Cricetulus griseus: one gene and its partner. Each later gene encodes a partner of the first gene's protein in a complex. Links are inferred from orthologs where the notes say so. Each region holds a gene or a part of one and is shown on either strand. Other genes may lie near its edges.

Region 1 (4,300 bases):
GGTTTACAGAATGAGTTCCAGGACAGCCTAATCTACACATAGAAAACCTTGCCTCAAAAACAAAACAAAACAGCAAAAAAGATGCAGCCTTTGTGATAATAAGGTGGAAACCGGCCGTGGTCAGAGGGAAAAGGGACACATGGCATGCTGGACAACCTGACAGAACAGAAGCAGTCAACTGAGTGTAACCGTCTCCTCTACAATGCAGCAGCAAAGGGAAGCTGTGCTAAAAATACACTCAGAGAAAGAAACTGAACATCTTTCCATTGCAACTCTCCCTGCCACGTGACTCCCCCCACCTTTCAATCCAGCTATTAATCAATCACTCCCCTGTCAAGTTCTCTCCTAGTGACATTTGCCATTGCTGTCATTATCCAGTTATTTAACTATGATATTAACCCGCAAGTGAGCACTGTGCCCTGAGGAACAGGACTTCACAGAGCAGGGCCCTCTCTGCTCCCTCTTTTAGCTCTCTACTTTCCTGACTGGAGCCAGGAGGGGCTGCAGAGGCTCCAGGAAGAAGTCTCCAGGGCAATGTCTCTCATACGAGGGCACTGTTCCCAGAAAAAAAAAAAATCAAGAGCGATCAAGGAAACTCAAAGCCCAAAGGGAAACTGGGGTCACTCCAAGCTGTGCCTTTCCCACAGTCTTGCCCCTGGGGGAATTCATTTGTGAGAGAAAGGACTAGAAGGTGCTGTGATAGAAGAAGCACACCGGTAGAGAGAACAGAAAGATGATCAGAGAGAATAATTTTACATCTGCTTCAGCATACTATTCCCTAACACATTTTGTTGATAGGAAAATCAGGTGTTGGCTAAAATCCAAAATTATTACGCAATTACTTAGGTGTCCATTTAAATTATAGTATAAGATTGGGACCTCACTTTGAGGCTTGCCAGCTTCTCTAATGTTAGAACCCATGTAGCTAACCCCACAAGGGTGACACACGATGTGGCTGAGAAGCTGGGTCCAGAGCTTATAAGGAAACCTTAGCAAAATTTGAAGATGTGGACGACCCCAGGGGCGTTTACAGTAAAAGCAGTTTTATACTGCGATGTGCTTTCTGGAATATGAATTAACCAGAGTAGCAAACTGTACAGAAAGACAATCTGCTCCAGGAAAGCCACAATATTTGTGTCCTCAAACACCTGAGATTCTTATCTTCCTTGCAGTTCTCCCATGATTGATTCTCTCTTCTCTGATAACTCAGCAAAGACATTTACAACTATATGCAGAAATAAAGCTCGCTTTCAGCTGCAGTCCCAGACTCCACTAAGACTGCAGTCCCAGACTCCACTGGAATTAGGCTGCGGACTTGCCACCTTAGAGCACCTCCAGGGAACACCACCTTCATGGCGATTCCACCAGCAGCAACACAAGGAAACAACAGCCTCCTTTTATGACTGGGTTCAGTTACATTTTGAGTCTGTGCTCTGTTAGCTCAACCAAGGTTCAAGTTACAAGGCTTCTCAATTGTGGGCAGGTCTCGACTGCAAGGCCATAAAGAAACTCACAACTGACCCTAGTCGTCTTCTCTAAGCAGAGAGAGCAGGCAGCGCCCTGTAGGTGACCGCCTTTGTGACAGTAGTGCTGACTGAAACCTCCCTGGACACTAGAAAACCACTTGTTCTCTAAGCTAGCAGAGCACCTCTCCTCGGGCGAGCGTTTCCTGGGAGAACAGAAAGAGTAGAGTGCCGAACTGGCAACCCCCAAGCCAAAGGCCCCAGAGTACTGTGGCTGAGTCACGTTTTCCCGAGGATCAGCCGTTTACTGGGTTTTCTTAGGTACTGAGCTAAACGGAGGGCAAGAGCTTGGAGAGTGGATAGCTCCCCGGCTCAGGAACGCGTGCAGGACGCTGGGTCCTAGGACTCCGGGCCACGCGTTCCTCTACGCCACCGCCACGGCGCACTGCACTCCCACTCCCAGCTCGTAGCGTTGCCCGGAGAGCGACAATGCCCTGTGCAGCCGGGACGCAGACAACGCGTCCTCCCACCCCCATCCCTGATGAAGCCACACTCGGCTCACTCTTCCCGCCTTCAGAAGTGTCGGACCCGTAGTCCCAGCCAAATTAGAGTCACCTTGGCCTCGGTGCTTTGCATTCAGCACTCCCACTCCCTAAGAGGAGGTTAGAACTTGTCACTAGTGCATCGCCCCCGACCTCCAGGTCTCCCCCATCCCTTCGGTCACACCCCCGGCCCTTCCCTGCTATGGCCCGCGGCGGGAGAGAGCTAGGGACAGAGCGGGAAACCGGGAGAGAGAGAGAAAAAAGCGGGAACCCGGAGTTGCCGCAGCGTGATCAAAGGCTGAGTCTTTCCTTGCTCCTACTGAATTCTGCTCCAGCCACCCTTCCTGGGACTCCCTTTCCCTGATGCGCCCGGGAGTCCCAGTGAGCGCCGCTTCCAACTTTCTCCTTCCCATCTTCAGATGGAGAGGAAATGGTCTCGATCCGGTCTGCAGGTGGAGGCAAGTCGGCGCTCAAAACGTACCGTCTGCTGCGGCCACCCCTCCTTGGGAGGCGGTCAAACTCTGGAGCCACACTCCCAGAGCCACCAGGAGCAGGGCTTTGCTCTCCATCTCCCTGGGCGTCCTTCTGCTTTGCTGTGGGAAGTGCGCGGCGCGGTGCGGACGAGCGGGCGAGCGGGCGGGCGGACGGGCGGGCGGGCTGGAGCAGATACGTGTAGCAAGGGGTTGAGCAGGAGGCGCCAAAGGGCTGGAGCGCGGTAGAGCGCCGCAGGGCAAGTCAACCTTTAAAGAGGGGAGGGCAGGGCAGCTGGAAGGGACAGAATTCCTCGGAGGAGGAGGAATCGAATCTGACGGTTTCCACTCCACTGCTGCTTAAGTGACTGGAAATATGCAAATAAGCCTCATCACCTATTGGCTATAAAATCATAAGTTGGGGGGAGGACTCTAAATTCACTTCCAAATATTTGAGCAAACTAGCGAGGCTCAACGGTGCCAGCAAGAAGCGGGGGAAAGGGCGGGAGGGAAATCTTGCTTGTGGTTTAAGCTCTGCTTTGCTTACCCTGAGGAACCTGCCCCCCCCGCCCCCCAGGGACTCCTGTGGATACACGGAGGAGGGGTTTAAGTATTCAACCATCAGTTTTCCGAGTGGAGGAAATTTTGCTCTTAAAAGACAGCTGCCCAACGCTTTGATTCCTTCTCCCTTTTGATGAATCCTCTTTGTTAAACTTAAGAGTTCTTTTCTACAGTACCGTTGCCCCATTCCTCCCCCACCCCTGCGCCCAAGGGACCTTATGACGTACACTGCTCAGCGCCCGGTGCTTTCACAGCCTGCTTTTTATCGTTGGCAATATGGATTTCCTTCTGTGGTAGAAGAACAGGCCCACTTGTGTTAACTAGTTTCTAATTTTGCCTTATGCAAATTGTACTCTTGTTTTCTAATTCAACAAGAAACGCAAGAATAACATTTGTCTTCAGAGGCAGAAGGTCATGGTCAAATATTTTAAGCTATACTGGGTTCTCCGTGGAAGAAGCCATTCTAAAAGGCACGCATTTTGCACCATCCCAAACCTACAAAGACAGGAAATAGATTAGTGATGGCCCAGGATGAAGGAATATGGAGCGCTGGGGGTTAGGGGGATGTAGAAATATTCTGATTCCATTATGATTGGCACTGCACAACTTTTTAGATGCATTAATATTGAATTGTACTCTGCATGGGCGAACACTGAGCTTTTTGCAAAGTGGATTAGGACATGTACGTAGAATGAGAAGAAAAATAAAGTCACATCCTATACTATGCCTGTCTGCCCCCAAAACGTGGAATATTTGCATCTTTTTAAATGAAGAGGATGCTGATTGGCTAGAAAGAAAGTAAACATTAAACACCCCACATTAAAGCTGAGAAGTCACCTCAGAAAATCAGAACCTCCAACAGGCTTTCTTTACTGATCTTGATATTTTTAATTGGCTGTCTCTCCGAAACACACACACACACACACACACACACACACACACACACACACACACTTACACAATAAGCTTCGATATAGGCCCACTTTTTAAGTTTTCTCAAAACTACAACATAAAAGCTGAACATGCTTTTCTGTAGATGAGTTCTGTCCCTCCCTCCTCATGTCTCAGTTTCTTATTTTGCACTGCAATCCTTAAACAGTGTATCATCCACATTCATTACCAGCTCCAAAGCTTGACAGCTGGCAAGAGTGAAACTCCACTGAACAACTTTGGAAATGGCAGAAGATAAGCCAGGGTGCATAACTAGAATTCAGCCAACCTCCAAGAGAAGTGTATAGGAAGCTCTAATTTTAAAATTCAACAG
Region 2 (3,642 bases), on another chromosome or scaffold:
ATGAGGTTAGACGATTTGAGGAGCTGGGACTGGAAGTTGGGACTCAAATGTTTGCTCTAAACAACCCCTGGAGACTGGCCATTTCTCCTACGCCCTACATACGATCCAGGAGTCTGAGGCTTAGACAAGGAACTGGCGCAAACCACAAGACAGGCAAACTTCCCAGGGCCTGACACTGATTCAACCTCCTGGCCAGCCTCCCTCCATACCTCAGGTGAGGGAACATGACTCTCCGGGACCTAGCTCTCCCATCTGCAAACTCCCCTGTAGGGCTGGGGACAGTATATGCTGGGTCTGGGAGGGTGGATGTAGCACTGGGAACAGTGTGTGCCCCCACTATTGGTGCTGTCAAACAAAGAGGCCATACTACCCCTGCACCCAGAGAGAGACCTGACGCCACCAAGGGCTCACACAGAGTACCCTGGGGGAGACAGTGGCTGGAGTCAATGGCTTTGCCAGGCAGAAGCCAGGCCAGGTAGATTATAGCCAGTCCCAGAAGGCTCCCTGCCTCAAAGTCAACACCTACCTAAGTGCAGAAGCCCAGGGACAGCACCTACCTTCTGTAGCCTCATCAGTGGTCGGGGTATCCTTGAGGGGTTAGAGGCTGCACTATCAAGGGACAACCATCCAACCAAGTGTGATATGGAGCAGTAGGGAAACTTCAGGAGAGGTAACTAACTCATAAAGAGATTGAAGGGGGAAAGAGTTACAGTCTAAGGAAGAGGCGGCCAGTGCAGCAGGAGCCTGGGCCAGCAAGATCAAGGCCAGGAGGTGAGAGGAAGAGTGGTTCTCCGAGCTAAGTTGGACAGACCATGCTCTCATCTGAATACTCTGCACTCAGGTGGAAGGTACCTGCCTGTGGCCCTCAGATAGAGTCCTAAGCCCTTGTAGCTGTGCATCCAGGGTCCCCAGAGGTTTGGGATAGGTGCTTATCTCATCAAGCTCACCCACATCAAGCATGACAATGCTGAGGCCTGGAGGCCCAGGAGTCAGGACAGGACAAGGTGGTTCCTGAGGCCAGCACTTACCTTTTGTAGCCCCCCACCAGGCAATGGGAACAGCTCAGGTGGACAGCACAACCAAGGCCAATATAACAACTTCCCTTTCCTCTCTGTCCCCGGAGGTCCTTGAGGAAAGCGATGTTCCTGGCCTGGCGCCGCCTGCAGCTGAAAACCAATGTGAAGCCTATTGTTTCAGGTTAGAGCTGGTGGGGGCCACGGGAAGCCCCCAGTAATGCCCTATGTCCCACTTACTGCAGACCCAGAAGCCCGAGTGAGGAGTGCAACACTGGACAGAACAGCCTGCTCCAGGATGAAGGCACTCAGGGTTGTCCTTCTGGTCTTGCTGCTAAGTGGACAGTCAGGTGAGGGTCATCCCAAGAAGGGGTAGTCCAGTCCTGACTCATGAGTACCTCCAGGAACCCCTTATCCCATGGACAAGGAATAGGCTTAGGGAGGAAGATGGAGGGCCTGGGGCCCCTTCCTTCTGCCGGCTGCAGGCTTGACTGCTTCAGCACTACAGGGGTGGAGATGGGGAGAATTCTGTCTCCTTGTATAAAATGGAAAGGACCCGGGAAAGAGGGCATGTTAGGGTCAGGACTTAGTGCTCAACCCCGAGTGTGTTCTCTGCGTCTGGATAGCCGAGGCTCACAGATGTCACTGCACCACCAGGGAGCAGGCAGGCACAAGAAGAAGATGGCGATGTGGACTTGGGGCCAGAGAGCTATGGCTACGAAGATGACTATGAAGAGGAGGAAGAAGAGGAGACCAACATGGTCCCTGGCAGCAGGGACAGAGGTACCCACCCCAGCTGAGGGCCCGCCTCCTGCTCTGCATGGGGCATTCTCTATCACTTACCTCCTATCCCGAGGGTAAAGCAGAGCAAGCTGCTGGCATCCAAGCCAGGACCCAGCATGCCAGCACACCGGCTCTCTTCTCAGGCTGCAGTTTTCTCCACCCTGAGCTAACACTCAAGTCTGCCCCTCTCTGTCCACCCCACCCCCACCCCTGCCTACGTGCTTCCTTAGCCCTGGGTTTCAGCTTATCTGACTGACCCCCATGTTCTGTCGTCCTTAATAGCTCAAGGCACAGGCTCTTTCAAGAGGACTAGTGGGTGATGGGTGGTGGATGATGAGGGCAAGTACTTGGGGATGGCCCTACTCTCAACCTGAGCTGGCCTGCTACCCACAGAATCTTTACAGTGCTACATCTGCCAGTCGCTACACAGTGGGGAGAGCTGCAACCAGACACAGAGCTGCTACCACAGTAAGACCTTCTGCACCACATTCATCTCCCATGGCAACACTGGTGAGCATTTGGAGAGGCACACCCAGGGAGGGGGTCAGAGAAGGAGCCCACACTGACACCCACGCCCTGCCCTCACTACCTGTTCTCCACACCCCCTAGACAAAGGTCTGTTGACCACCTACTCCATGTGGTGTACCGATACCTGCCAACCCTTCACCAAGACGGTATTAGGCACCCAGGTGACCAAGAGCTGTTGCCAGTCCACACTGTGCAATATTCCACCCTGGCAAAGCCCCCAAGTCCAGGACTCTTTGGGTGGACAAGCAGGCAGCCCCGTGGATGGTGGAGCCAGACGTTCTCAAGGTGGCATTGCAGGTAGCCCCCTGGATGGTGGAGTCAGACATCCTCAAGATGGCAGGATTGACCACCCCCAGGTTGTCAAGATTACCCGTCCTCAGAGTGATGGGGCTAGCTTGCCCAAGGGTGGAAGAGCTAACAAGCCCCAGGGCAGTGGGGCAGGATGCCCTCCAGGCTGGCACAAATTTGGTAACACAGCCCTCCTGCTCAGCCTCCTCACTAGTCTATGGACATTAGGGGTCTGAAGACCTACCCTCCTCCTAACAGGATACCCTGGCCTCCCCTTCCCCACAGCCAGCTTCAGAGAATAAACTTGAATTCCTTTTGCAATCCAGCTAGCTGTAGCTCCTCTGACCATTCTCTGTCCTCAGTTTCACCCTCAGGCCTCCTCACCTTCTTCTCCTCAGCCATGGGCAGCTCCCTGGGTACCATGTCAGCCTCGGGTCCAGGCATCTCCTGCCAGTGCTCTAGGGATGGTCAGCTTACAGGGGTCCCACCTGCCCAGCTGCACAGAGATAATAGCAAGCCTGTAAGCCGAATTCTCTTCCTGAATTTGCCAGCATGAAATTATTCCCCGGAGCCACCATCTAAATAAACTCAGCCCTTTCACAGGTGTGAGGTGCAGGGTGATCCTCAGCCACCTGGAAAGAGGGAGTCTTGGAGGGAGACCAGGAAAGTTGCAGGGTTGAGGTAGAGTAACTACAGTCAAGGAAGGGAGGAGGCAGAACAGGCAGGAAGGCCCAGCTGCTGAGTAGGGGATTTCCCAGCTGCAACCTGGCCAAGAAATTCATCCTTTTAAGGATTCCAGACCCTCTCTCACAGCCCAGGCCTCCAGGAGCCCAAGATGGGCAGCAGGTCTGGGAATGAAAAGCCCGATGGGTTCTAGTGGCAGAGAAATGGCTAGCACCCATCCCTGCCTGGGTGGGTGGGTACCTTTTCTGGCTGGGGGAGGCACCTCCTTGATGGGGAACCTGGCCACTTGGCGGATTGGCAGTCCTTAACTGGGTGTGGCCCTTAGCAGCTGAGTTCTTGGCTTCCT

Evidence for each region. The genes of interacting proteins can lie anywhere in the genome.
Region 2: the proteins of Lpl (region 1) and Gpihbp1 are in contact, whole or in part, in a crystal structure (PDB 6OAU), measured with the Homo sapiens proteins. The link is inferred for Cricetulus griseus from reciprocal best matches to the Homo sapiens genes LPL and GPIHBP1. Residues at the interface, in NP_000228.1 of Homo sapiens: Tyr367, Gly368, Thr369, Ala371, Glu372, Glu374, Leu403, Met404, Lys406, Lys430, Lys440, Ile443, Cys445, Ser446, Arg447, Glu448, Val463, Lys464, Cys465, His466, Asp467, Ser469; in NP_835466.2 of Homo sapiens: Cys68, Lys69, Ser70, Leu92, Ala94, His95, Gly96, Asn97, Thr98, Glu99, Ser100, Leu103, Thr104, Thr105, Ser107, Trp109, Cys110, Thr111, Asp112, Ile117, Lys119, Val121, Glu122, Thr124, Val126, Met128.

Annotation. Positions count from the first base shown.
Region 1 is NW_023276806.1:245,574,350-245,578,649, reverse strand, and holds the start of Lpl (lipoprotein lipase), read right to left. Parts: upstream 2,819-4,300; 5' UTR 2,575-2,818; coding exon 2,487-2,574; intron 1-2,486. UniProt on the Homo sapiens protein: Key enzyme in triglyceride metabolism.
Region 2 is NC_048595.1:372,879,165-372,882,806, forward strand, and holds Gpihbp1 (glycosylphosphatidylinositol-anchored high density lipoprotein-binding protein 1), read left to right. Parts: upstream 1-1,311; coding exon 1,312-1,363; intron 1,364-1,670; coding exon 1,671-1,796; intron 1,797-2,189; coding exon 2,190-2,306; intron 2,307-2,405; coding exon 2,406-2,561; intron 2,562-2,609; coding exon 2,610-2,848; 3' UTR 2,849-3,125; downstream 3,126-3,642.